Linked DNA regions of Medicago truncatula. The protein of the gene in region 3 interacts with the protein of the main gene of each other region in a pairwise test. Links are inferred from orthologs where the notes say so. Each region holds a gene or a part of one and is shown on either strand. Other genes may lie near its edges. The genes, in order: G-protein coupled receptor 1, regulator of G-protein signaling 1, guanine nucleotide-binding protein alpha-1 subunit and guanine nucleotide-binding protein subunit beta-1.

What was found.
Region 1: the proteins of guanine nucleotide-binding protein alpha-1 subunit (region 3) and G-protein coupled receptor 1 interact in binary tests that used the Arabidopsis thaliana proteins (3 or more experiments, as listed by UniProt). The link is inferred for Medicago truncatula from reciprocal best matches to the Arabidopsis thaliana genes GP ALPHA 1 and GCR1.
Region 2: the proteins of guanine nucleotide-binding protein alpha-1 subunit (region 3) and regulator of G-protein signaling 1 interact in binary tests that used the Arabidopsis thaliana proteins (3 or more experiments, as listed by UniProt). The link is inferred for Medicago truncatula from reciprocal best matches to the Arabidopsis thaliana genes GP ALPHA 1 and RGS1.
Region 4: the proteins of guanine nucleotide-binding protein alpha-1 subunit (region 3) and guanine nucleotide-binding protein subunit beta-1 interact in binary tests that used the Arabidopsis thaliana proteins (3 or more experiments, as listed by UniProt). The link is inferred for Medicago truncatula from reciprocal best matches to the Arabidopsis thaliana genes GP ALPHA 1 and AGB1.

The regions. Positions count from the first base shown.
Region 1 is NC_053042.1:3,734,644-3,741,511, reverse strand, and holds the start of G-protein coupled receptor 1, read left to right. Parts: upstream 1-3,846; 5' UTR 3,847-3,968; coding exon 3,969-4,151; intron 4,152-5,366; coding exon 5,367-5,398; coding exon of another isoform or gene 5,399-5,434; intron 5,435-5,492; coding exon 5,493-5,662; intron 5,663-5,927; coding exon 5,928-6,022; intron 6,023-6,868. Other genes in the region: serine/threonine-protein kinase RIPK, read left to right, coding at 23-415, 683-818, 1,345-1,481, 1,615-1,738, 1,892-2,268. UniProt on the Arabidopsis thaliana protein: Together with GPA1, may regulate the cell cycle via a signaling cascade that uses phosphatidylinositol-specific phospholipase C (PI-PLC) as an effector and inositol 1,4,5-trisphosphate(IP(3)) as a second messenger.
Region 2 is NC_053044.1:42,433,004-42,440,488, forward strand, and holds the start of regulator of G-protein signaling 1, read left to right. Parts: upstream 1-4,460; 5' UTR 4,461-4,653; coding exon 4,654-4,736; intron 4,737-5,270; coding exon 5,271-5,391; intron 5,392-5,536; coding exon 5,537-5,600; intron 5,601-5,701; coding exon 5,702-5,786; intron 5,787-6,036; coding exon 6,037-6,110; intron 6,111-6,476; coding exon 6,477-6,668; intron 6,669-7,438; coding exon 7,439-7,485. Other genes in the region: golgin subfamily B member 1, read left to right, coding at 60-207, 283-364, 1,065-1,167; protein NOI4, read left to right, coding at 2,241-2,249, 2,633-2,845, 2,950-2,976.
Region 3 is NC_053042.1:4,088,626-4,095,663, reverse strand, and holds the start of guanine nucleotide-binding protein alpha-1 subunit, read left to right. Parts: upstream 1-4,024; 5' UTR 4,025-4,502; intron 4,503-5,600; 5' UTR 5,601-5,661; coding exon 5,662-5,748; intron 5,749-5,835; coding exon 5,836-5,908; intron 5,909-6,949; coding exon 6,950-6,987; intron 6,988-7,038. UniProt on the Arabidopsis thaliana protein: Exhibits a fast rate of basal nucleotide exchange. Guanine nucleotide-binding proteins (G proteins) are involved as modulators or transducers in various transmembrane signaling systems.
Region 4 is NC_053044.1:57,900,588-57,907,973, reverse strand, and holds the start of guanine nucleotide-binding protein subunit beta-1, read left to right. Parts: upstream 1-4,375; 5' UTR 4,376-4,513; intron 4,514-4,520; exon of another isoform or gene 4,521-4,630; 5' UTR 4,631-4,693; coding exon 4,694-4,799; intron 4,800-4,868; coding exon 4,869-4,963; intron 4,964-5,192; coding exon 5,193-5,617; intron 5,618-5,732; coding exon 5,733-6,093; intron 6,094-7,386. Other genes in the region: glucan endo-1,3-beta-glucosidase 7, read left to right, coding at 1,810-2,136, 2,313-2,595, 3,020-3,057. UniProt on the Arabidopsis thaliana protein: Guanine nucleotide-binding proteins (G proteins) are involved as a modulator or transducer in various transmembrane signaling systems.

The DNA.
Region 1 (6,868 bases), about 350 kb from region 3:
ACATACACTATACAAATTCTAGATGACTACTACTAAAAAGATAACATGGAAGTCTATGATCTTGATCCTAAATTGTTACAAGAGTAAATACCCTTTGGAGGAATCAGAGAAACATGTTCTAAAACAAGGTTCTTTGCAAAGACTATGTTTATCAGATATAAGCAATTCAAGTTCAAGTCAAGCTATTGAAGATCTTTCAGTTTCTTTTGCTGGTTCTAAACTTCATGCATTCACACTTGAGGAGCTAAAAGAAGCAACACATAATTTCTCATGGAGTAATATGTTAGGTGAAGGTGGATTTGGACCTGTTTATAAGGGTTTTGTTGATGATAAACTTAGACAAGGGTTAAAGGCTCAAACTGTAGCTGTTAAATGTTTGGACTTGGATGGCTTGCAAGGTCATAGAGAGTGGCTGGTTAGCTTTCTGATGCACCCTTTTAGTTTACGAAGCGTATGTTTGGATTGGCAATTGATTGAGCAAAATTACGGTTTCACTATGATTTTGTTAAAGCTCTAAAGTATAGTTTTTGTCAAAATCACGATGGATCATCGGAATTTTATGAATTTCATTGCCGAACCAAACATATGCTAAGATTACTTTTTTCCATGACAAAATACCACAATTTTTGTGGAAAAAATATATCTAAAAAAATGTTGTTTTGAACATATTTTTATTTTCTAGGCAGAGATTATATTTCTTGGACAACTAAGTCATCCACATCTTGTGAAGTTAATTGGATATTGTTTTGAAGATGAACACAGGCTTTTGGTGTATGAATACATGCCAAGAGGTAGCTTGGAGAATCAATTATTCAGAAGTATGTTTCTTTTCTACTTTCTACTTATTTTCTCATCATTTTTTCACTCTTTTCCCAAAAGGCACAAAATTAAATTAAGTAGATACTAAATAATCATTAGGACTTATCATTTTTGGTACATAAACTCACTCAAAGTCAAACCTGATCAATTACAAGATCTAATGGCCAAATAATTTTGATCTGATGTTCTATATTATTAAACACACTTAATTTTTTATTTTTTTTAAATCTATTAGTTTTGTTGAGTCTGATTAGAAACTCTCACACTAACACAATAATTAAGGTTTGCTTCATTATTCTAATATGTTTGTATGATTCATAGTTTACTAATAAGTGGAATCTTGTAAATTGGACCATAGTATGTAAACACAATTTGTACACTATAAATCCTAAGGTTGAATTATAGAAAGGTATAGCATCCGCTCGGTAATGGTAGCCGTAGACGTCTCACTGATCAAATCTCGTGTGTTATTTGTTTGCGTTTTTCTTTTGAGCCGAGGTTGATGTTCTAACATAATACAAACAGGATACTCTGCTACTATGCCATGGTCAACAAGGATGAAAATCGCATTGGGAGCTGCTAAAGGCTTAGCATTTCTTCATGAAGCAGATAAACCTGTAATATACAGAGATTTCAAAGCTTCAAATATCTTACTAGACTCGGTATGTTCTTTTCTCTTCCCTTTCTGTTTTATTCATAAACTTCAAAGATCACCTTGCATCTACAAAATTATCTTCCATGTGGCCATATTAGAAAATTATTAACTTGGACTTTTTTATCTCCCATCAAATCCAGGATTATACAGCTAAGTTATCAGACTTTGGACTAGCTAAGGATGGTCCTGAAGGAGAAGAGACACATGTAACGACACGCGTAATGGGAACACATGGTTATGCGGCTCCTGAGTACATCATGACAGGTATGACTCTACCATACAAAATGTTAACCCTGTTTTATGCTGCTCCTGGCCGAACTCTAGATTATCAGGATTGTTTTCGCTGATAATTTTAGGGTTAAGACGAAGAAAAAAAATTTGAATCTAATTAACCCTTGCCCGATTGATTATATATAGGTCACCTCACAACAAAGAGTGATGTGTATAGCTATGGAGTGGTTCTATTAGAATTGCTCACAGGAAGAAGGGTAGTGGATAAGTCTTCAGAATCAAGTAGAGGGAAAAACTTGGTGGAATGGGCAAGACCAATGTTGAGAGATCAAAAGAAGCTGCACCGTATTATCGACCGTAGACTTGAAGGTCAATATCCTACCAAAGGAGCTTTGAAAGTTGCTATGTTAGCTTTTAAATGTTTGAGTCATCACCCAAATCCAAGACCCTTCATGAGTGATGTTGTTAAGGTTTTGGAACCACTTCAAGATTTTGATGATGTTTTTATAGGACCATTTGTTTATGTTGCTGTAAATGAAAATGGTGACAAAGATACAATATAGTACACCTAAGTAACTTAGGTAAATATTATAGCTTATAAAAAAAAAAAAAAAAAGGGAAAAGGAAAAAAGGAAAACAAAAAAGTTGTGTTACATATATTTTCCTAAGGGACAAGTTTGATTTTCAAAATCATGATGCAAGTAGTTATACATGTGTGACTCGTATAATCACTTCGTCTATTTATTAGAGTTGTTGGATAGAGATTAGACGATTCATATTGTGATTTTGACAAATCAATAATTTAAAATCTCGATTGATGGTTATCAAGTCGATGTTGGTATGTCATAGCCAAAAAAAAATATTAGAGCTGCAGCAAATGTTTCATATGGAATAAGTACTATACTACCACATGGAAACTCAAGTTTTCAAAAGTGGTAAAGGATTGATGAAGTACAAAGGCTTGAAGGAAGTGTTTGCACGGATGTTATTATCAATAGTATTACTTATGTTTGGATGACTTCAAACTCTAGTCTAGAATATACAAACAACTCATCAAATTATAATATATTTGACAAAATTATTGTTGGATTGTGTTCATAGTTTTAGATTTCAAATCATAGCTAGATGAATGGGAATATTTATTATTATTTTTCCCATCCCGCATATTAGTCTCATAGTCTGGTTGTATTTACAAAATGAGTTTTTTTTTTTTGTTGGTAAAATTAACTCATGAGTTTGCTCAATAATAAAAAATGATTTGCTAAGAATACAATAAAAATAGCAAGTTAAGGAGGGAATATTCGTAGAGCTTATACCGTCGTCATATCATTGCATTATTTTGTGATAAGGTCGATATATCATTGTTGAACTTAAAAGGGTTGAGTCAAAAATAAAATAAAAACTTGAAAGGGTGCGCTCAAGTAACTTCTGTGACTTTGTTTTTTGACAGAGTAATTTATGTGGCTTAAAACACTCATTTATCTTATAAATACCTTCTCTAACACCCATTTTTCAATTAAATGAAAGTCATGTGAGTTTGACATTTTAAAAATAATCTTTTGCACCAATTTTTTTTACGTTAATCCTTTCATTTAAAAACATAGACATGTTTAAATCTGAGCTGAAAAAAATATAACGTAAATATATATTTACTACATTATTTATAAAGAAATAAATTTAGTTTGTATCTAACTTTGTAATATTAATTCCTTCCACAAAACTTTTTAATATTAATTAGGGTTAAATTTATTTTTGGTGCTTATAAATATAACGAATTTTGATTTTATTTTTTATAAAAAAGTGACATATTTTTGTTCCTCTAAAAAATTCTAGCATGTAGCAAATAAAACAAAATTGATCTAAGAGGGAGCAATTGTCAAATTGCCCCATGCAATGTAAGTAACAGTTTAGACAAAAATGATTCTACCCAAAATTGATATTTCAAAAGAGTTGTGTTATTTAAACAACCAATTATGTGACAACTTTTAGTACAACCAAAATTTTGCAAAAAAAAGAGATTGTCACAAAATCAATAATGTGAGTATGAGATAGAGATTGTCACAAAAGTTGTCAAAAATTGATGGTACAAATATCATTTCTCATTTCAAAATCAATTAAGTTTTATCGTTGTTTCACAAAACCCAAAAACACCGTTTCAATTTCAACTTCATTTTCCCTTTTCCATATTCACCACTTAACCACTCAACTGTAACTTCAACCAACCAACCAAACTGATCGCCGATCACTCACTCCTCCTCCCGCAATGGCGACCACCGCCGCCATCAGCACCACACTTACCGCCTCCGATCGTGGGATTCTCACCGCAGTAAACGTCGGCGCGTCGAGTCTCTCTTTCGCTGGTTCAAGCTTCATTGTACTATGCTACCTTCTCTTCAAAGAGCTTCGCAAGTTTTCCTTCAAGCTCGTTTTCTATCTAGCACTTTCGGTATGCTTCCTTTTCTTCGCTTCAGATCTATAACACTGCGTTTTCTCTTTGTATTTTCAAAAAATTGCTTCGATTTTTTTTTATTTATTACTTTAAACTCTTCGCACAGTTTGAAATGAAATCACATGATTAAACGCGCTTTTGTTTTTGTTAACTTAGTTACTTAATTTTGTACTTAGCTTCTAATTGTTGCTTATCGTTGACGTAATCGGCCAATTAGAGTTTGGAACGAATTACAGCAGAAGCTGGTATTTGGAGATTTATCAGTTAGGAACTAATTACAATGACATTACATAATAAAGGTTACAAGCAAATCTATAGTAAAACCTAATGGACTCGATTAGTAACTTAGAAACCTAAAGCGCCCAATAACTTATTATCTAACAGTGGTTACAAATGCGGACACAGTTGCTGCAGAGAGCTCTAAGAAATATTTATACTGCACCAGCAATTGCGGTTGCAGACCACAATTTAGAACTTTTAGCAGTGTAATGGTTAAGTTACACCAAGGTTATTTGAGGACTGCTTAATCCTAAGATCGAACCTCAGCGTGACTGTTTTGCCTCCATTTTTTTAGCTTAATTTTCATTGTTTACCTACATTGTTATTGTAATAATTAGGAGTCCCAATATCTTTTAATATGCTTACTGATAGTTATTTATAGTGAGCTACAGAGCTAGTAATTAGAGTAAGCTTCTCTATTTGATATATGCTTTGTAAAACTTATCAGTTGTTACCAGTGTTGTCAAATATAGGCCATGGCGGATTGTGGTGGCGGTGTTTTGACATCTTTCATGGCCAATTTGTGAAGGATTGAGGCGCCATTGCGTTTTATGGCAGATAAAGTGTCTTATGATGGCAGCTTTTTAACTTCCTGCCATGGTCCGCCATCTACAGTTGACAACACTTGTTGTTACCTGCTAGTTATTGACTTCAATGTTGGTGCTAATTTGTAAAACCTACATTTTGGTGATGAAAACTGTTGGTTTTTAGTAAATTTTTTAATCAGGGTACCAGCTTTTGTAATCTTTCTTGTCATTTGTTCCCCTTAGCCACTTTAATTTGAATTTGTAATGCTGTTTTACAATTGAGAAGTAGGTCCTTCGGGAATCATAGTCTGTTCATGTGCATTAGATGATCAGCTATTGCATTGGTTTCACCATGTTCTCTTCTTCTAAGCCATAATGCTCTTTTATGAATTTTCACCTGTTGCAGGATATGCTTTGCAGTTTCTTCAGCATAATAGGGTATACTTGCTAGTTCAAGTGCAATTTTCTTCAAGTGTATGTATCAACTAAATCTGTTCATCATGTGATTGATAGAAGTTTCATTTTGATACAGGGACCCATCCAATAGTTTATTTTGTTATGCTCAGGGATATAGTACACATTTTTTTTGTGTGGCATCTTTCCTTTGGACTACAACAATTGCTTTTACCCTTCACCGCACTGTTGTAAAACACAAAACGGATGTTGAAGATTTGGAGGCTATGTTCCATTTATACGTCTGGGGTATGCATCTATCGACGAATCAACTTTTTAATATTGTAGCTTTGAGAAACGGCGTATTTTTACAATAATCTTCATGTCATGTGATATCCCAATCCCATGACATTTGATTTGAAAATGAATTTCTTGTACAAAGTAATGCTGATGGAATGGCTTTGGTTATGCATGAAGAGTAGGACTTTCAACTAGTCTTGATTTCGTTCAATTCCATTATCAACTTGCATAGAAGAGAGCTCATTTGATGTTTTTTTCTCTAAACTTTTGATAGGTACTTCGCTGGTTATGACAGTTATGCGCTCCTTTGGTAATGACCATAGACATTTTGGTACATGGTGTTTGTCTCAAACAGGTCTTACAGGGAAGGCAAGTAGTAATAGGAACGCAGGTCACATGTTGTTTTCCTACAATTCCCAGAATTTTTTGTTTATTTCATTTTCCACATCATTATTTTGGTTTTACATATGGTATATGATGGGATTTTAATTCAATAGAAGAGGTGTGAGCTTAATATAAGAATTAAATGTAAATTAACTTTTCTAAAGCATGAAAATTTTGTTTCATAACTTTAGCATGGGTTAAGTGTTATTGGCCTCTGCGTGATTTGTAACAACAATTTGTTCTCCATATTAAGCTCTGCTGTTATAGTAAAGATGAAACATTAGGATTTTCATGAAAATTAGAATAAACGCCAAGTAGGGAATCCTCTTTCTTTAATGGTATATGTATCTCAATTGCATGCTCTAGTGTCAATTCTCTCACTCTCTCTAAATCTATGTAATTTGATATCATATAAATGCAAAAAGGATTGGCAATGAATGTAAGCTCCTGTTTACCTACGATAGGATTGTTTTCCTCGTTGCAATTCTTCAAAATTCAAAATAACATATGTAGATTAACATGCAAAGCAGCTAAAATTAACAGCTGTGAAAAATCCATGTGAGCAAATTTTTCTGACATTTTAAAGTTCTAAACAGCATTCTATCCATATTTTTGTTAATTGCTTAGGGATGCTGTTAGATACTGGGTTTGGGCCTAAGCCCAACTAATGTACTATATAGGGGATTTGGTTGCATTTGCTGATGTGGCTAGTTTGTTAGAGGGTAATGACGGTTATATGAAGGATAGGATAGCAAGAGAGGGGAAGTTGTCACATTTTAGTTACGACCTTAGAAGGTTTGGGCAGAGAAATTCCTTTCTCTGAAGGAGCGG
Region 2 (7,485 bases), on a different chromosome or scaffold from region 3:
CCAAAAGAAAATATCAAAGTGATTAAGTGCATATATTAAGAGTTTTCTTATTTACGCAGGGATCTCTTGGCAAAAAAGCATTATCTCCTGTCCCATTGGCTGCTCATGTGCGAAATATGCGAAAAGGATCTAGTGACCATCTTGCACTAGATATTGGTGGGGAGTCTGATCAATTAATCAACAGTGCTGATACCGATGATGATAAAGGTATTTACTAGTTGCTCTTCACTGTAAATTGTTTGATTTTAAAACTTGAATACTTAATAATAGATTACTTTGCAGGTCATGCATTCAAGTCTCTGAACACTTCTGGATTCGTACCGAAACAAGGAAAGCTCATTGCAGATCGTATTGATGGAATCTGGTAAGTTGCTATTTTCTATACATCATATTTACCTTTGGTTAAGCAGGAGTATTTTTTTTTTTAACGAATAAAGTAGAAGTATTTTTAGAATTGCCTGTTTCAGCATTTTAACATGTAACCGCGAAAGGCAAAAGCACTCTTCAAATTTACATTGCAAAATAGATGTCGCTTATTTGTAATGTTGAACTCAGATGATCTAAAATCCTTAAGGTGGTGTTTCGCGTAGAATATCAAACAGCTTAACTCTAGACTAGAGATGATGTTTAGTGGTAGGACCTAGAAGATACTTACACTCATTGGGAAAGATCCTTAAATGGAACATGTATAGATGTACTAGACCATTAAACTGATGCAGGGTATGTTATCATCCTTGGAGTAAATAAACTGTAGGCTTTTTTAAGAACATTCAGTTTCGAATATGATTCAAGACAAATAATTAAAATTAATTTATTGGTGCTTGTTTATTATATTTGAAGGTAAAATGGTCGAAAAGATTTTGTTTAGATAACTAAATGATGATAATTTAGTGATTCCATCTTTATTATATCAATGCTAATAGTTCCATTAATTCAATTTAAATACCTCAAAATTCAAAATTCACATGTTTTATTTATTTATCATGAAAAATTCAGTCATTTTTACCATTAAATTTTTTAATGCTACCAAACACACTTATGTTGGGTTTGATTTCTTTATGCAGGGTATCCGGTAGTAGGGTTCTTATGAATCGTCCCAGAGCAAGATTAGGACTCATTGGCTATTTGCTAATCATGCATTTATGGCTACTGGGGACGATATTGTAGAAAAATTGTGCTCTAGGCAATCTGGACTACTCAACACTTATGTCCTGCATTTGCAAATTGTAATGTAGATAGATATAGTAAATGTCATTTTGCTTCTGAATGAAGCCTACCCTGTTTTTCTTTAGTCTCATCACACCCTCTAATAGTTTTCTCTGCAATCACATTTTAGGGATTCAGAGATTATAGTTTTCATGTCTGGGTTCAGTTTTTTATAGGCTTCAATTATTTTTATTGTAATTGCAACCCTTACATTGTATTTGCCCTACATTTGTTTCAAAATTAAGGGATGTGGTAGGTAGGAAATAGGTAGATGAATTTTTTCACTTGTTAGTATAATAAAACTGTAGAGATATTTCAAGAGTGCCTCATTTCTATCTCAAGCAATGAATAAAGACATACTGAGGCTATTTGAAGATATTTGTTTCAACGATGCCTTTGAACTTGAAGCATAGGTATTTCATATCGACTTAGAAATATTTTATCATTTTTTAAGTTTAATTTAAACAAGTACTTTTATCTTCCACGTTTTATTTTATAATTATTTGTTCAACATAATTTTATGTACATCCTCTAAAAAAAAAAACGTAAGTTAATGTACATCAAAGTACAGATTATATTTTCCTTCTTATATATAATTAAAAAAAGAATTGATCATGCAGCACTGTTGCCACCTTTTGCAAGAATCTTAGAATTTTTTTAATCTGTTGACTGCTGTCCTAATTATATGGATAATATGTTAATTTATTTACCATAAATAGTTATCGGTGACTTTTTAACGGAAACAGAGTGTTATTAGAGGGTTAATATTGTTAAAAATGTAGATTAAAATAGCTGTAATGATAGTATAATAATATTAACGTAAATCCAACAGCTAGTTTTCGCTGCAGTTTGTTTCTCATTCTGCAGCCTTTATATAAAATGTTGTATTTCAAGCTTTTTCTTATTCAATTCCACCTCACATCTTTTATTTCTTTTTAATAATTAATCTTCATTCGTTTTACTCATAATTCTAACCATCTTCCAAGAATTTCTTCTGGTGTTGTTGAATATCATCACAAAGCAGCTTCAATCTCATGGCTTCGGTATGATCTTTTTCCCTCTCCATCCTTTTCAATAATCATGCAATGCATGTTGATTTTTGGTTATGTCATTTACTTTCTCATTAAGAACAAAATAAAAACTTATGAATGTAATGTGTATGGAATCCGTATTCAAACATTATTTTGTTAACGTTAATCCGATCATTGAATGTCTTTTGTTCAACAAAAATTGTTAAAGAAACATGTTTTTGTTCTTTCTAACGAAATTAGAAAGAAAAAATTGCTTTGGCTAAATATTAATTTTAATTATTTGGTGCTGTTTAAAGCAACATTTAACGTGATGTCTAAGCAACTAATGTGAAATTGAAGAGTTTAATTTTCAATCAATCAATTGTTTTGGTATTGATGACACAATGTATGTGCAGTATTCAGAACAAGATGGAAAGCCTCTACCCAAATTTGGGGAATGGGATGTAAATGATCCATCCTCAGCTGAAGGGTTTACTGTTATATTCAATAAAGCTAGAGATGACAAGAAAATTGCTTCTGCATCTGGAAGATTTCCTTCACAACGACGATATGACTCTCGCACCGGTCGCACCAACGATAATAATAAAAATTTAAAGGCTTCCTCAAAGGTACCTAATAACAAACTTGTATTATTGATGACAATAATCAATAATAAATTGTGTTAGGTTATTGTGAAGCTGGGTGATTTATTTACAATTGGTTTTGTGTGCAGAAAAAATGGCTTTGCTTTGGCGCTTAGACGATGATATAAAGATGCATATGTAGTTTTTGATGTCGGCACATGTGATTACAATTAATCTCATCAATACGAGGCAAAGGGGAGAAACTTAGAATGAAAAAAATAGTTCAGCTTGCTCAAATCATCCGCGTAGCTTCTAGATGTTGATTTTATGCATCAAGCTACTTTATTATACTCCTAAGCAACATTAAAAGTTTAATTGTAAATATATACGCTAATCAATTCAACATTTTTGGTATATATTGCTTTGAGAAACAGTGTCTTTTTATTTGTTGCTTTTTTTATAATTTTGTTGATGATGGTATATTGTAGTACTATTTTTTTTCTTCAGGAAATTGCTGATGATAGTATAATGTGATGTATTATAAAATCATTGTTAAAATCACGACCAATATCTTTCTGGTTCAACGAAGACAAAATGGGATTAATTTAAACCAAAAGCATATATAGTTATTAATGTTGATTGATGACCAACTATCGTTGATTTTTTTTATTTTTTTATGAACAAACTAGACTAGATTTAGTGATGCTGATAATTAAATTCTTAGCTCATGGGCTTCTAGATGAAAGACTTATTTTCTTATTCATTTACATTAATCCTCTTTTGCTTTATAATATTAATTAAATATACCATTACGTCATTTAATTGTTTTTCATAGATAGTAGAATGAAAATAATATTTTTTTGAGGAAGTATATGAAATAATTTTGTATAAGCAAATTTTCCTTCAATTGTTTTTTTGTATAAGCTAATTTGTTGCGTACAATATTTTTTTTGAGAGGAAGTATATGAATTAATTTTAAATAATCTATGATGTATTTTTCTTTACACATTTGATTGAAAAAGCATTAAAAAAATAGTTTATCTAACATATATTGCACATGTTAAAATAACTAAAAGTAATAATTTTTTTTTCGTTGAAGGAAAAATAACAAGTTTTTATTAAAAAGCAACAACTATTTATTAAAAATTTATATTATTTGATATAAAATGTATAAGATTCAATTCAAAGTTACTATTTTAAACTTCTTACCTGATATAAAAACCTTTAAAAAAACACAACACAAGAGTGTTTGATATTCCGGAGTTAAGTGAAAAGTAAATAAAATCCGATTAATTTCTTTTTCACAATTATACTCAAATAGTTTGGGGGTAATAATTATTTTCGTTCTGTAATGACTAGTCACAATAGTCCATCAATGTATCAAAATTTTAAAATAGTCCGTGATTATGCATTATGTTCGTCAAAATAGTCTCTGACTATTTTAAATAAGTAAGTATATTGGACGACTATTTTAACGTCAGAGACTATTTTGACCAACGAAGTGCACAATCAAAAAATATTTTGAAAATTTTTAGACATTAAAATGACTATTATGATTATTCATTAGATTAAAACAACTATTACCGCTATAATTTGATGTTTATGTTAAGCTTATAAACAACACAATACTTTTTCTTTTTGAACACTCCTAAATCATAGGCAAATACTGTGCACTACATACATACATACAGTAAATCGAAGTGTGAAACAAAAGAGCACGTGGAAGTGTTGTTGACTAGGAAAACAAAGAAAGAACAAAAAACAACATTGTCTGTCAGCTAAGATTGAATGCAACAACAACCTGATGAACAGAAACTGAATCTGCTGTTGTACTTTGTACCTGAGTCAGATGAATGGCGAATTTCAAGTGTGCCGTCAAAGGTGGCTGTCCCACTGATTATGTTGCTGTTACCGTTTCCATTCTCTCCTTCATTCTGTAAGCTTCTCTCTTTCTTTTTCTGCCTAATTCACTTTCTAATATAACATGTTTGATATTATGCCTCTATCAATTTTGAGCTTAACAACTTCTAATCTTACTTATATTTCCTTCACCCCTTTCTGATTTACCTTTTTTCTTTTCTTTTTTTCTTTCATGATTTATGTGATTCACTTATAGTGTGCTTTAGTTTGGCCTTTAGACCGCTTATTCAACAGGTAGTTAGGTACTTATTATGACACATCGTCACCGATAATAATTTGAGAAAATTGAACATAACCACATGTGCTGGTGTTGTGTCGGTATCTGTCACTGACACATGTCGGACACCAGACACGCTTATGAACATATCATCAACTATTATGGTAAGCTCTTTAAAACTATTACCCAAGTGGATGTGTCATAAGTTGAAATAAGCTCTTCCAAACCCTCTTAACCTTATTGTTGAATTGAAGCATCATTTGTTTTGAAATATAAATTGAGCTCTTAAACTTATGCATATTGTATCGGTAATGGTTGGCTTCTATCTTTCAGGCTTCTCATATGGTCAATATTTCCCTTCATAGTTCACAAGGTTCCTCGTACTAAAGGCAGTGGTTTCTGGATACCTGTAATTCAAGTTGTTGCCAGCTTCAACCTTCTTCTATCAATTATGGTAGAAAAAGAGTTCTTTATGTATATGTTACTGATTTTCTATGAAAAAATAAAACAATATTCGTTGTTCAGTCGTTACAGTAGTAAATGGTTAGTATTGCCCTGTTTGTTTTCATGCTTAGCTATCTATATTTTTCTTAATGCAGATGTCACACAATTTCTTCAAATTTGAAAAGAGCCATTGGTGGCAGTCATGTTACTTGTGGGCAGGTTAGCTTCTTGCCGTCTATTCTGACTTATTTATACTTCATATTTGAACATATGAATATTTGTTACTTGTTAGCATAACCATACTTTGTGTTTATTTCCAGTTTGGGGTGAAGGTCCACTAGGGTTTGGTTTGCTGTTGAGCTCTCGCATAACACAAGCATTTCAGTTGTATTTTATTTTCGTCAAGTAAGTGACTACCTGATATTCAGTTGTTAGGCTCTATAGCTTTCAGATGCTTCCTTAGGTTTTTCACTTTGCCCCTTGAAATTTCTACCTCCACCCTTTTTTTGTGGCGCGAAAATATAACCCCTCATTTTCTCTGTGTGTATTTTGCAGCTTTTTATATGTACTCACCCCACTGCTTAACAAGTGCTAAATGAGTTACCGTCCACTTGTAAGTTGTGTGCTGAATTAAATTTCTTTACTGCTATTTCAGGAGGCGTTTACCGCTGATCAGATCATTCCTTTTAATTCCACTTATTCTTTTGCCCTGGATTATAGGTGCTGCTGGTAAGAATCTGAATTAATTTTAAGTTACTTTTTGCTTTTGTTTGTGTTACATAGACTTTGCTGCTGGGAGTAGAGGTGGCTATAAATTTATCCGTGTACTTTGATGGTTTTTCACCTGTAGAGTTGCATTTTTTTTATCTATGTTAATGTGATGTATTGTGTTCTTTCAAAATTTTGCTGGACATTGTCTACTTCAGTTGAACGAGTAATTCGTTTTTGAAATCTTTCTGCAGTAGCCAGTATGTACTTAGTATTCGCAACATCTTGTGGAATTTCTAGAAATGATTGTCAGAATCCCCCTTTGCCTAGCTTAAGTTGCCATGTTGCTGTATTTATTTCTAATGAAGCTGTTAATTTTCTCTCCAGTTATCCATATAAAGAAGCCTCTTAGCAATCGCTGCCACATGTCAGTTCAGTGGACCATACCAGTTGTTTGCCTTCATGCGTTGTATGTTGCCACTTTGGTTGGGGTAACTGCTGCTGTGCATCATATAGAGTTCAGGTTTGATGAACTCAGAGACCTCTGGCGAGGAATACTTGTATCATCCGTATCCGTTGGTATACTTTTTCATACTAATATTAGACTAAGAATTTGTCTGCTGCCTGTTTGAAAGATGGTAAAATCTTGAGTAAGTTTTGGGGGGATGAGGACACTGATGCTACTGATAGCACATTGGAACCTGATACTGACCATGAGGCTCACAAGAGCAACTGTCAAAGCTCTCTGGAGCATGATATAGACACAGATGGTACTCTAGCCAATTTGAAGGAAACTCACTCTGCTGACCAGTACCTTCTGCAGCATTCTCATGAAGATGGTTTTATTAAACCAGGCAAGAAAGGCAGGAAGAAAGCTGCTAAAAGTAAAACCTTAGATGGTAACAGTACTGTCAGAGTTTCAACTAGACATAAGAAGACTAGTGTTCGCCTTAAGGAACAAGCATGAAGTGCATCTATTGGCTTATTAGGGGAATTGGGAACACTAAAACTCAAATTCAACTTAAACAAATGGGCTTTTCAAAATGCTGTATAGAGATTCATTAGGTTTACCATTAACTAGAATTGTTATGGACTGATCTTGTACGAAGGTTCAGGCCTCTCCTGCATTTATTTTAGTTTCCAAGCTTGATCAAAAATTAAAATAAATAGGGAAACAGACCATAATATAAAAGGAAATATGAGAAGAACTAATCCCAAGATATAATCTAAGATACTCTAAATTACTTCAAGATATTGCAAGATATTTTTCTTATATTCTAACTTATATTTTCTGGATATCTCAGCTTGGTGGTCTCAATAATTTAACCTATGTTCATTTCTTGTGTCAGCTGTATGGGTTACTGCTTACATACTTAATGAAATTCATGACAATATC
Region 3 (7,038 bases):
CAGGGGTAACAGTGAATTCTGTCAAACTAAAAAGGACCTAATTGAAACTTTCGAAACTTAAAGGATTAACTTAAGAATTTTGTCAAACTAAAAGTTGTTTAGATGGAAGGGTGGTGATTATCACTTTGAGAGAAAAAATAAGGGGGTTTGTGTTTACTTAAAAACTAGAGGGGATGTTGGTGCTATTAGAGAATAATTTATATATGGAAGGTGATTGTAATTTTTCCTATAATTTATAAGTGCAAAAAATAGATTTCATAAAAGCTTAAATATGCATTTCGTCTCTGTAATTTGGGCATGTTTTGATTTTCGTCCCCGTAAAAAAAACAAATTTAAAAACATCATTGTAAAACTTTTTTTGTTTTAAAAAGGTCCTTGACCCCACTTTTTTTGCTGATATGGGATGGTTTTGGCCACGTGGCACTTGCTGACTCTGCAAACTTTTTCCACGTGGCAGTCCACGTCATTTAAAATTTATTTTTTATTAAATTAAAAAATTATGAAAAAATTCCAATTTTTTTTTAAAATAAAGAAAAAATTGGAAATTATTTTTTCGGAATAATTTTCAAAAATTTAATTTTCACTTTTTTTTACAAAATTTTTAATTTTAACAGTTTTTTCCCGAAATTTTTTTCATAAGTTTTTTATGATTTTTTTTTTAATAATGTGGCATGCCACGCGGCAAAAGTTGCACAGTCAGCAACTGCCACGTGGCCAAACCCATGCCAAATCATAACTGAAGTGGGGCGAGGGACCTTTTTAAAACAAATATTTTTTTACAGGGATTTTTTTTTTTTTTGCAAGGACGAAAATCAAAACGCACCCAAATTACAGGGACGGATTGCATATTTAAACCTTTCATAAAATAATAGAGAGAATTAATCAATTCTATTCGGCATGGATGATTAGGTCTTTAGTTGACTATATGTTAGTGATTTTCTCCGATCTACCATAAAGTGTGTCTTCCTTAATCTAATTTGTTTCTTTGTTGCAACAACAACAACAACAACCAAGTCTTATCCCACTAAGTGGGGTCGGCTACATGGATCAAATGTCGCCATAGTGTTATATCATACACCAAATTTGGATCCAACTCATTGACCTTTAAATCCTTTCTAATGGTTTCTCTAATAGTTTTCCTAGGTCTTCCTCTACCTCTTTTAACTTGACTCTCCTCCATTTGATCTATTCTTCTTACCACGGCATCTACGGGTCTTCTCTCTACATGTCCAAACCTTCTAAGCCTATTTTCTACCAACTTGTCTACTCTAGGTGCTACCCCCACTCTCTCTTGATGGGATAAAACCGCAAGTGTACGGTTCTATCGAAGTATTAAAATAAGAGTATCGTTCCGACATGGAGTTGTTAAATTCAATTAACTTTTGTTGATGATTAGAAGAGAATCAAGTTGCAAAGTTGGGGTTTTCAAAAGGGTTGAAAGATAATAATATAAAAAGAGGCTTGGGATTATTGGTTCACCTTAATGACAAGTCCTTCTCAAACCAAACCATTAAACCTAGAACCTTATGTTATACCTAACTTCTAAAGACAGTTTCTCTTTTGTTCCTCTAGCAACCAAGCTGACTTGATTACTATTAGATTTTGGTTCCTTTAATAACCAAGCCTATTTCGCTGACTTGATTACTATTAGTTCCCTTGAAGATCGAAACTGTATGTATCAAAGATTGCAGAGACTATTTCGCTGCCTTTGCAACCCTTGTCTAAATTCACTTGTTCGAATATCAAAGTTCCACTTTCGTTTTATGAATTGATATTTGAGATGATGGATTAACAATTATCAAACCCTCCACTTTCGTTTACACAGTTGATAATGGTTAATTCATGTTAAAACGGTGAATTTAGATTAGAGATTAGGGTTACATAAGATTAGGGTCAATAGCTTAGTTTGATTAGGATTATGTCATTAAGACTTATCCAGCAATCCCAAGACAAGAGAAGTCTACTCGCTCATGTTCATCGTAGACATGAAGAAGAAGGAGAAAAGCATAAAAGTAAATAACAAGAAAGTAAAGGAAAATAAAAGAACTTTTATTAGAAAGACAATTGTCACTTATTGAATTCCAAGAAAAGATGAATATTAGTGATGGCTAGCTCCTATATTTATAGTTTACATTCGACTTAGAATCTAAGCAATTACATCACTAGAATGTTCCACAAACAACGGGCTTTTTGGTAAAACTAAAATAGAGTAGCTTAAAATCTAAACAAAATCAGCAAAAGGTGTTATGGGAGGTGGCACGGCCGTGCCAAGCTTCTGACTTGGAGGAGACATATTTTTGTCTCCGAATCTTCGTATTTTTGCTCCGAATCAGCTCTAAACCCCTTTCTTTTGCTCCAAGACTCAATCCATTAAATATTCGTTCCTGAAATATAATAATATGCAATTGAAGTAAAATAGTTCAAAAAGGAAATAATATTAAAATAAAATAAACTTAAATCTAATTAAAACTAAACTAAATATTATACTAAAATAGATAATTATTGACTCATCAAACTCCCCCACCCTTGAATCTTTGCTTTTCCTCAAGCAAAAGGCATAGACATAGCAGCAATAAAAAGATTAACATATGACAATTCAAATAAAAACTTATGTCTCCTCTAAGACTTCATTTCAATGTACACTAATCACAACTCCAAGTATTCCTTGTGAACCTATTCAACCCAACAACAAGTCTCAAGTGAGTGTGTGTAGTCCAACCATTTTCTTGCTCTTATATAAGACATATATTATGAGGAACATGTTATAACCTTAACACTAAAGTAACCGAGAAAAGTCCTTTCTTCATTTAAAATAAAACAAAATAAATATTATACCACTCATAGGATTGCACCAAGGGTCTATCCTTAACTCATATGATCGGTTTCTTTTGTTTGTTAACATATTTGCATATTAAAAATGGTTATAGTTATATTGTATATTTAATTATATAATTTTTTTATTAACATATCACAGCCGTATCGTATCTTGATTTTTGAAAATTTTCCGTATCGACGTATCGGTGCAGTATCGTATCTCGTATCTGGGCTTCACAGGTCCCAAGTAATACCTTACTTTTAAAAAATGAATATATACACCAAAATATTTCTTAATAATTTGACCCCGTATAAGTTGTCGTTTTTATGGATTATGACTATTTCGTGATAATTCCCACCTCTGTTTAGCTATTGATGCATAATCATATTTGCAAAAGTTGAAGCTTTTAACACCATAATTGAGTCAAATATGGGCAGAGTAATTCAACATTAAATAATTAAGAAAGAAAAATGTGCTATGAAATAGAGTTAAAGAAAAGAAGAAGACAAAGACTTGTAGTACATAGAAGAATAAGACCACGCATCTTTTACTTTGAATATCTAGAAAGCTTTGGTCGTAAAGTGCATATTGGATCAGTTGAGTACAAAACAAAACAACAAACACAATATTTTATTCTTGAGAGATCAAATACGATATTTGTTGCCTTTAATTTATTCAAAGAAATACAACTTGATTATTGAACATATAAATATTGGGTTAAACATAAACACAACTTGAAAGACAACATCTCTATTAGTTGATTTCTCTATCTATAAAACACTTGTTAGTATTTAACCTATTTTTTTCGTATTTATCGTAATTTTTAGTCACATTCTATTCTTTTATAATCAAAGAACTCACATTTTAATGTGAAAGAAATAAAATCAAATTCAACAATTTTGCTAGCCTCACAATCATTGCACTATTGCTCAAGATGAGATCCTCCTCACATGTTAAAATCTACATAAATAAAAAATGTAAAAAAATTAGATAGAAAATACAAACAATACAAAAATGTAAAATTTGTTGAAGGCAAAATACGAAAAGTTCCATAAAACATGGTTTAATTAACAAACAATATCAATATTATTAAGCTAATCATCTGTATCAAAATCTAACTTAGAGAATCTCACAATTTATGTGCCTGAGTTCGAGAAAACAATAAAATAAGAAAGTACAAGTGGTGGTGTGTGTGTGTTTTTCCAACAAGACACATAGATAGAAAAGTGTTGTCATTCACACAGCAAAGCAGTGCTTACCTGTGTGTATGTATGTATGTATGTTCCTGTCTTTTTCCAATCTTTGACCAAAACCAAACAAGAACAAGAACAAGCCTTACCAGAATCACCTTTCGGCGCTCTTTTTCTTTAACCCCATTTTTCTCATTCTTTTTCATTTTTTTACCAGCTTCAACAACCACCACCATACATGTTTTATTTTTTATTTTTTTATTTTTGTACTCATTATTACCTACACTACATTCAAAAAACCCCAAACTAGTACTATATCTTAATTTATTATTATCACCTTAAAATTAACAAATTTTTACTGTTTTTTTTTTTTTTTTTTTATGCTATTATTATTGTTAATGTTTGTTGTGTTACTACTGAAGAAAACTGAACTTGCTTTTTAGCTTCATCTCCAATTCATCACTCAAATCTAGTTTAACAACAACGACCCTTTTCAGGTAACCTACTTTTTTTATCTTGCATTCTTAATTTCTCTTTCAAGATCCATCCTTTATTGAGAAATTTTATCTGGGTTGTCTTAATTTTTTTTTTTTTGCTGGGGATTGATTTTGCAATTGAATATGTAGATCGAGATGTTTGCAATTTAGCATAATATTTGGCTTTTTTTTTTAATATTTAATTTTGTTTTTGTGATTTTGCATTTGGTTGGGGACTTACGGTACCATTTTGGAGTGTATTATTATATTCTCTTTAACTATTTTGTTAGTTTGCATGCTTATGGTTTCAGAATAATTTGAAAGGGCTTTGTTTTTCTTCCTTTTGTTTGGAGATATTTAGCATTCATAGCTTCAAATGATTTAGTTTAGTTTTTGTGTTGAACCTATCCATTCAGAGCATGTTTTGCTCTGGCTTCAGTTAGGCACCCGCTAGTGGACGGAGGGATTGGTCCCTCAGATTAGTTCGTCCTTAGGCCGGATACCGAGTTAAAAAAAATAAAAATTCTGTTTCTGTTTAGCTATGTACATGACCATAGAGGGTTAAAGTGCTGAAGAGATTAATATTTGATGCTGAAGAGATTAATATATTGAGGAATTTTTTGGGAATGACTAAAAAGGATACTTTAAGACAATAATATAATGCCCCATTTGAATTTCTTCAACTTTTCTTGGCATTTCAATTATCCTCATAACACTGATGGGGTTGTTTGCATCTGATTCTGATGATGGACTTGTGAGGAATTCAAGTCGCACGTTCATAAGTTGTTTTCAGCTTATTTCCATTAACTCTCCAGGATAACTTATGACACTTATACGAAAACAATATTTTATTTCATCTTTTGTTACAGAAATAGTTTATAAATAAGCATTTATATGGTAAACGCTTGTTATAAATGTTTAATTAAACTGTTTAACAGGCCTATAGCGATTTGGGCCAAATATCTTACCTTGTGTATGTTTGTTTTCATGTCAAACACACTCAATGTTTTGCTAAAACAAACACACTTATTGAGAATAATCGCCAACTTCAAATTCAATGTGCCAAACGTCTCTTTTTGTTTTCTGGTGCTGCTGACACTATGCTAGTTCCCTTGTTAGGTGAAATCAAGCCCACTAATGCATGCACACACTACTGCTGGAGCTTGACTAATCATCTTCTATGCTGTGTTTTGTAGCAGAAAATATGGGCTTACTCTGTAGCAAAAGTCGCCGTTATAATGATGCCAACACTGAAGAAAATGCACAGGTCAATTATACTAGATTGAGTACATACTTTTTAAGTTCTTAATAATCTGAAAGTGCTATATTTGATTAAGCTTACATGCATTTACAGACTGCAGAAATTGAAAGAAGAATAGAGTTAGAAACAAAGGCTGAAAAGCATATTCAGAAACTTCTACTACTAGGTACATTTTATTGGACAATTGTCTTTTTATCTTCGTCTTATATGCTTAATGGTCCATGTTTACATTATAAAGTTGAACTTTGCCATTTTGGAATCTACAATGTATAAATGATGACACTTGCCAGGTTTTGAAGGAATGTCTATATTTTTATGTTGAGTCTCACGTTAGATGATATATGAGCTGAAAATGTGTTTATAAGTGAGAGACATCCCTCGTTTACAAACTGGTTTAGTAGGACTGAATTAGGCGTAACCTGAATTCCAAGTAGTATCAGAGCCTATCCAAGATCCGTTGGACCACCTGCTTTCGGGTTATTTGGGTCACACTCTGGATGTCCAGTTTTGGACATGACGGGTGTGTGATGAGAGTTCCACATTAGATGAGAAATGACGTGCAATGTATTATATAAGTGGAAGACATCCCTCACCTTGCAAGCTAGTCCCAACCGAATACCGAGAGTTCATAAGTAGTTTGTTTGTGCAGGAACTGAATTGTTTCCAAACATTCAATGTTCTCGTTATTTTTTTGTCTCCATTATGGAGGAAACTGTCATCTTTGCAGCATAAGGTGTTTTATTGTACTATGGAAAAAGTGTATTCAACTTCCGATTGAGGGTTACTTGATTTCCATATGTATTTTTGATATAAAACCATTTACGAGCTTTCATCTAGTAGCCTGAGCTTTTGGGATAGTTGGTTATTGATATGGCATCAAGTTTCTGACCAAGTGGTCATGAGTTGATCATTGCTGCCTCCATTTTTTCAAATAAAATTTACAGATGAATTTTTTTTAGTATTGATGATTGAGGAAACTATTTTGTATACTCATGTTTTTAGGATTTGGAATAACTGATCAAACAGGAGATTAGATTTTCTTTATTTATCGTAATGACTTCTTCTTTTAAGTTATCTATCATGTTCCTGCGAATAATTGCATACTCATTTGATTGAACCATTTATGCAATAATATTTCATTTTCATGCTTGCTTTTATTATTTTTATGGTGCACTTATTTAAACTTATCAACGATCCCTTTTTTTAGGAGCTGGAGAGTCGGGGAAGTCCACTATATTTAAGCAGGTAAGAAAATGCATTTTCTCCGTATCTTAGCACTGTGTGTGTGTACTTGAT
Region 4 (7,386 bases), on a different chromosome or scaffold from region 3:
AAATTAGTCTATTTTAATGATATGAACTAAGAGTTTATAGCTTATGCAAATAAATGGAAAAATTAAAAGTCTTTGTTTATATATTAGTGAAACAAAAAATTGATAGCTTACGCAAATAAATGGAAAAATTAAAAGCCTTGTTTATATGTGAGTGAAACAAGCGTTGCATCATTCAAATAAATACTAGGGGAAAATACACTCTCGTTTTGTATTCGATTTACTTCAAAACAAATTTTCATTCTCGTCAATCTTAGATCCTTAAACCCTTTCCTTTGCTCTTCTATCATTATTTTCTCCACTTTTATTTTTGCAAACAATGGTCTAATGCTATTCAATCTCGTGAAATCCCTGGAGAAACCTTGAATATGTAAAAAAATTATCATTCTAATTTCCTGTCAAAATAGACACCGCTAACTTGAAAGGGGCAGTGAGCGTCTATTTTTTTAAGATACAAGGGTGGTTATTGTTTAATTAAAAACTAGCGGGAATGTAAGTGCTATTGAGTCAAACCTCGGGGGAGGTGAGTGTAATTTCCTCTAAATACTACTTCGCAGCTAAATATAACATATAAACTATAAGCTATATAAATAATTTTTAAGATACAAGGGTGGTTATTGTTTAATTAAAAACTAGCGGGAATGTAAGTGCTATTGAGTCAAACCTCGGGGGAGGTGAGTGTAATTTCCTCTAAATACTACTTCGCAGCTAAATATAACATATAAACTATAAGCTATATAAATAATTTTATTTTAGATTATTTCGACGGTGAGTCAAACAAGTATTTTTTAATAATATAATTTATAAGCTATAAACTAACTTATTGTATTTGCTAAACCGGCCTTATTTACAAATATATTATTTTTAAGAAATCATTGTTTCTTTCATGATTTTTTGATAATTTTTTAAAGTATAAATTTTTATTACAACAGCAATATGTTCTCTTTGAGTTTAGATGACTTAAACTTTCTGTCTTGAGCTTGGAAATGTTAAATGCCCACATAAGACTTGCGTAAGCAGACCATTCACGGGTTGATTGGTCTAAAGAGCAAACACGTAGTATTTGATTAGTAGTCTAGATTGACACTGGTGTCAAATTGTAAGGAATAAAGTTGTTCTTATCCATATGTGATTGAGAATGCTGTCCTATGTTTGGGTTTCAACTGTGAAATAATGAGTACATAGATTGTAATCTCATGACTTTGATTGGAGACTAGCTGGCACAGATAATGTGGTCACAAGTCCTTCCAAAGTCTCAATAATTGTTAGGCATAGTAGAGAAAATGGACCCATAGTAATAGTAGCAGCAAGTATGGTAATGGTAGGAAGATCCTTACTCTTTTTCGATCTCATGGAATAAAGAGGTGAAAAAGTTTCCAATGTCAGTGAATGTACTAGTATGTCTTTACTCTCCTAGTTGCTGTCCACTTTCCTTCAAAAACAAAAAAACTTATAAGCCATAAACTAGCTTATTCTTGGTTGTTCATTTTAACTCTCTATTAATCTTCCTCATATAGTCAAAAAAGTTGGTAGCCGCATATTAATATTTGTTGACAATTTGTATTATTGTATACTATTAGTTTACCCTTTAATATAGAAAAGATAGTTTATGTTTTCGTCACAATATTTATTACAATCTAAAAAAAAAGGTGTAACATAATTAGATGTATATCGGTTAAGAAATAATTAAACCAGTTGAAAATTTGAAATGAATCTAATAAAAGGGACAAAGAAAAAGTTTGAGATGTTCTCATATTTAAGAACATAGTAATAATTAGTGGTATTTGATTTTCTTGCTGATTTTTTGAGCAGGTTGATGCTGTGCATTCTGCACTGAGTGCTATGAGCTACGAGGACATTGAGATTGTGGTTGCTGAGACAGGATGGCCTTCTAGCGGGGACAACAATGAAGTAGGACCAAGTGTTGAAAACGCCAAGGCCTATAATGGCAACCTTATTACCCATCTTAGATCATTAGTTGGTACCCCTTTGATACCCGGGAAGTCTGTGGACACTTACATTTTTGCACTCTATGATGAAGACCTTAAACCCGGACCGGGTTCCGAACGCGCCTTCGGCCTCTTCAAAACTGATCTTTCCATGTCATATGATATTGGCTTGGCCAAATCTAGCCAGCAGGTGAGCGAATTGCTATTTGTTTCTAATTCGGTCACCGAGTCTTAGAGATTAAAAATGAAAATTAGTTTCATTTTTTCCTATTTTTGTTGACAATTCAATTTTTTTGGTTATAGTATAATGTTAAGATATTGGTCTCATAAAAAGAAAGGTTGATAAGATGTTTGAATGATTTTCAGAATCCACCATCAACTAGCCCAGTTACTCCAGCACCCATCACTTCTGCTGGATGGTGTGTTCCTAAGGCAGGAGTCTCTGATGCTCAGTTGCAAAACAATATTGACTATGCATGTAGCCAAGGTATAGATTGTGGGCCAATACTACCAGGAGGAGCATGTTTTGAACCCAACACGGTAGCATCCCATGCTGCCTTTGTAATGAATCTTTACTACCAAACGTTTGGTAGAAATCAATGGAACTGTGATTTCACTCAAACAGCAAAGCTCACATCTCAAAATCCAAGTAAATATCCTCTTTTGATACTTATTCGTTCATTTCTTTTTTTCAATGATGCTTGTTAATAGTAAATACTGATCAATAAAAAAATGATGAAGAACATATCACTTAGCCATGATTCGCAATGAAAAACGCTACATTATTGGAAAATTATTGGAAATAGCAGACTGTCCTTTTAAGTTGTGCTTTATGGCTGTAGGTGTGGTTTGTGGCTTATGAGTGATCTACAAGTTATAAGGTTCTAACGTTTAAGTCTTCAGTAAATTTGACAAAATCACAGTAGTAACATTGTGCTTTTTGTTGAAGTTCTAAAATGCAACTTTTGCCAAAATCATTGCACATGCATTGTAGCTTCAAAAAAAAAATAAATCATAAATCATACATGCATTGTGTTTGTTATCTAACTTGATTTTCCTCCTCTTCTTGGTAGGTTACAATGCTTGCAATTACGCTGGTGGGAGTACCTGAAAAGCAGATGCTTCAGCTTGGCTTTAGTAAATAAGTTTTTCTTAAACAAAGTACTTCATTAATTTAAATTTTAATCAACGAATAAGGGTTTATCCTTGGCCCTCTTTTATTTATAACCTTTTAATTTAGTATGTTTTTAATTGTTCATCGTCAAGGCATGCCAATTCTGGCATGCATACCCAACCTTATTCTAACTTTTTTTCTTCTTAATATTATAGTATATCTTTTAGGTATGAGTATGCGTTGCATAACGTGTGCTTGTGGCAATCCATTTTCATAGATTATTGACGTATCAGTGTGAAAACTGAAGGAAAAAAAATATCAATTTACCGACCTGTTTGTTGCATACAAAATAATTTCATATTATATGTAAAACTTTTTACACATGTATGCAATCGATATCATAAAGTTATGTTTGCAAAAACGAAAATAAGCTACTGTACTACCAGTCACAGATGGGAGTGAACAATGCACCAAAGAGAAGTATTAAATAAAATTTGATGTGTCATGAAAGTTGCTCTTGAGGATTTATCCGCTTGATGTGTGCAGGGTAAAACGCAGTGGAGTTTCAAAACAGAAAGACAGAAAATCTAAGCAAGAGATGTATGTAACCCGCAAACGTTTTGAAGAGAAGTAAATAATGCAATTTTGGAGTACTGATAAATGATATTGTATTAAAATTACATTATAATTATAATTGCATCCCATGCTGCAATTTTGTAGACACAAGAATAATCTGATATGATCAGTCAGCTAACTCATACAAATGTCTTCTAAAATAATTAATGATGCAAATAAAAAGGATGCGATGCAAATTTATCATGCAAGTGGGTAAGATAAATTAAAGCTTGATTTGCTCAAAATAAAAATTAAAAATTAAAGCTTGATAAATTTCTAAACACCCAAGGGTAAGATAAATTATGAAGTATGAAAGGATCAAGAGCATAAAAACGAGAACTCTATATGTTTTTAGTATAGTAAAAATTTCAAACTAAACGGATAAAACTAAAGCAAACGGATTATATTTAAAAAAAGGGATAATATATATCAAAGTATGAAATTATGAAGTCAAATATAATATTGTCATTGTTATCCCTAACACTATCAAACTGTCTCGTTTGTACTTTGTAGTGTGCGCACACGGTGAAATGTCAAATATAATAATTGGGATAAATTGACACAAGCATCCGATGTCGTCCAGCGGTTAGGATATCTGGCTTTCACCCAGGAGACCCGGGTTCGATTCCCGGCATCGGAACTATTATTTTTGTTACCTTGGAAAGCACAAAACAAAACGAAATGAAATAACAAAATTACTATCCGTTAATTATCGTCGTAATTAAGTTTAGTTCGATCCATCCATCCATAGAAAAAGAAGCAAAGACAGATTCCATTCCAAATAACACAAGTGACAGATGGAGGAAGTGGGCCCGGCGGCGTCAGTAAATAATAAACAGTTAGTCCCCACTTGTTCAACTTCTTCTTCTTCTTCTTCTTCTTCTTCTCTTCACACTTTACATCTCAACCATTTCTAATTGTAAATTCATATTAATTATTATTATTAATTAATTAGGTCGTGGTCATCGTCCTTTTTCTTCAGAATTTGAATGAATCAGTGAAGGAAGACCTAAAAAAAATGTCAGTTACGGAGCTGAAGGAACGTCACATAGCTGCAACGGAAACCGTCAACAATCTCAGAGAACGTTTGAAGCAAAGACGCCTCTCTCTTCTTGATACAGATAGTGAGTTCTGAGTTCGAGTTTCATTCATTAGATCTATTTATCTTCTAACTCAACAATTTCTCTTTGTAGTTGCTGGCTATGCAAAGTCTCAAGGTAGAACTCCCGTTACTTTTGGTCCCACAGATATTCTTTGCTGTAGAACTCTCCAAGGTCATACCGGAAAGGTTTATTCCAATTTCTACTTTCTTTTTTGCTGAATTTAACACTGAGTACTCGTAGTAGGTAGAATTATTCAAATTTCTTAATAGGTACCAAGCATTCCGTAACTGAGTTAGATTCATTTACTTTCTATCTATGATAGATAGCAAGGGAAGCTTTTGATTTTTTTTTTTTTTGCTTAGTTGTCAGATATGCGCAATTGTGTTTTTATTTACCATTGACGAAATTTTACAGGTTTACTCATTGGATTGGACTTCAGAAAAGAATCGAATTGTTAGTGCATCTCAAGATGGTAGATTAATAGTATGGAATGCTCTAACAAGCCAGAAAACTCATGCTATAAAGCTTCCTTGTGCATGGGTCATGACATGTGCTTTCTCCCCAACTGGTCAATCTGTTGCATGCGGTGGCCTTGACAGTGTTTGTTCTATTTTCAATCTTAATTCACCCACTGATAGGGATGGGAATCTAAATGTTTCAAGGATGCTTAGTGGACATAAAGGTTATGTTTCATCTTGTCAGTATGTTCCAGGCGAAGACACTCACTTAATTACTGGTTCTGGTGATCAAACATGTGTTTTATGGGATATTACCACCGGCCTGAGAACATCTGTTTTTGGAGGTGAATTTCAGTCTGGACATACTGCAGATGTACTTAGGTATTGTTTAAGTTGTTTTAATAGTAGCGAGATCTATATGAAAATCAGTTGAGCATAGTTTTTTTTAGTATGGGATCATTGCTAAGAAATATTTCTTTTCTTTGCTCACTCTCAGCATTTCCATTAATGGATCCAACTCCAAAATGTTTGTATCTGGTTCTTGCGACGCGACTGCCAGATTGTGGGACACTCGTGTGGCAAGTCGAGCAGTGCGGACATTTCATGGGCATGAGGGTGATGTTAATTCTGTCAAATTCTTTCCTGATGGAAATAGATTTGGAACTGGCTCAGAAGATGGAACTTGCAGATTGTTTGACATTAGGACTGGACACCAACTTCAAGTATATAATCAGCAACACAGCGGTGACAACGAAATGGCACATGTGACCTCCATTGCATTCTCCATATCCGGAAGACTTCTGATTGCTGGATATACAAATGGCGATTGCTATGTTTGGGATACTTTATTGGCTAAGGTAATTGTTGCTTTAGTGTGATTATGTAAAACAAAAGTAGGGTGTTTTCTTTCTGCTCATAGCCTCGTACCACAGTGAACTGGGGATTACTATGTTTGCGACACTTTTGGCAAAGATAATTGGTTTTTCAGTTTAACCTGAAATGACAGCAGGGTGTTTTATTTCTACTTATTATGTTTTGGGAGATTTTATTTCGAAAGGTAGTTGGTGCTTTAGTGTGACCTAAACCAACAGTTGGGTGTCTTCTTCTTACTTGTTGCTTCCTACCTTAGCTTTTAAATGGAACATATGCTTCATTGTGGTTGTTTATTTTCAGTGTGAATCCAACTGCCAAATTAGAATTCTTATTGAGTAGGTCAACTCTACAAATTTTTATAAAATTTCAAAACTATTTGACACTTCATCAAATAACTCTACTTGAATGTATAATAAGCTTCTTAAAAGTATAAAAGTAAATGTTCTCTAAAAAATTACATAGGTACAAATTTTGAATTTATAAGCAATTTGTATGTTTGATCATTAATATAATCTGATACCGATCGACGGTTGGATTGGTGAAATTCTATGTTTAGAGATATTAAGAGGAGCAACTCTGCTCATAGTTACTCTGGGAGTAACTTGATCCCACCTCAAAGAACATGATGTTTCTGGCTTGGCAGCGAGGAACTGGCTTATATAGAAAATAAGATCCTTTGTGATACGTACTAACAGCATGTTTAGTTTCTATTAATTAATTGTTTGCTTTACTTCTACATGCGATTTGGGGGTGAGTTCTGGTTTCATTATGCTTTCAACATTTCAATCTGTGGTGGCATTGTGTTGGAATAGGACCTCTGAGTCTATTAATCATGATGAGTTCACTAGGCATCATCTTGTATATAAATTGGCTCATAATTTTCTGATATTCTTTTTGCTATCACAATGTCTTTTGATGTGGAGCTTTTATACCGCTGTTTATTTTATTTTGCACTTCTATTTATGTCTCAAGTCATTGCCTAAGACCTTGTTTTGTGGGCCAGTAAAAGCAGTTAATATGAATTATTTGAAGGAATTTTTTTTCTTATTTTGAAGGGAAAATTGAAGGTTTATCTTCTAGTTGAGATTTTTCTTATTTTGGAAAAAGACAGGAGAAGGGAGGCTGAAAAAGAGTGGTTGTTCCAACTCCCATTAATATAGACTTAGGAGTATATTAAATCTCTGACTTGGCAAACTTGCCATATTTTTTGAAAAAAGAAAAACTGAACAAAAACAAAATGCAATTCTGTCTTGTAAAATCTAGTCATATCATGATAT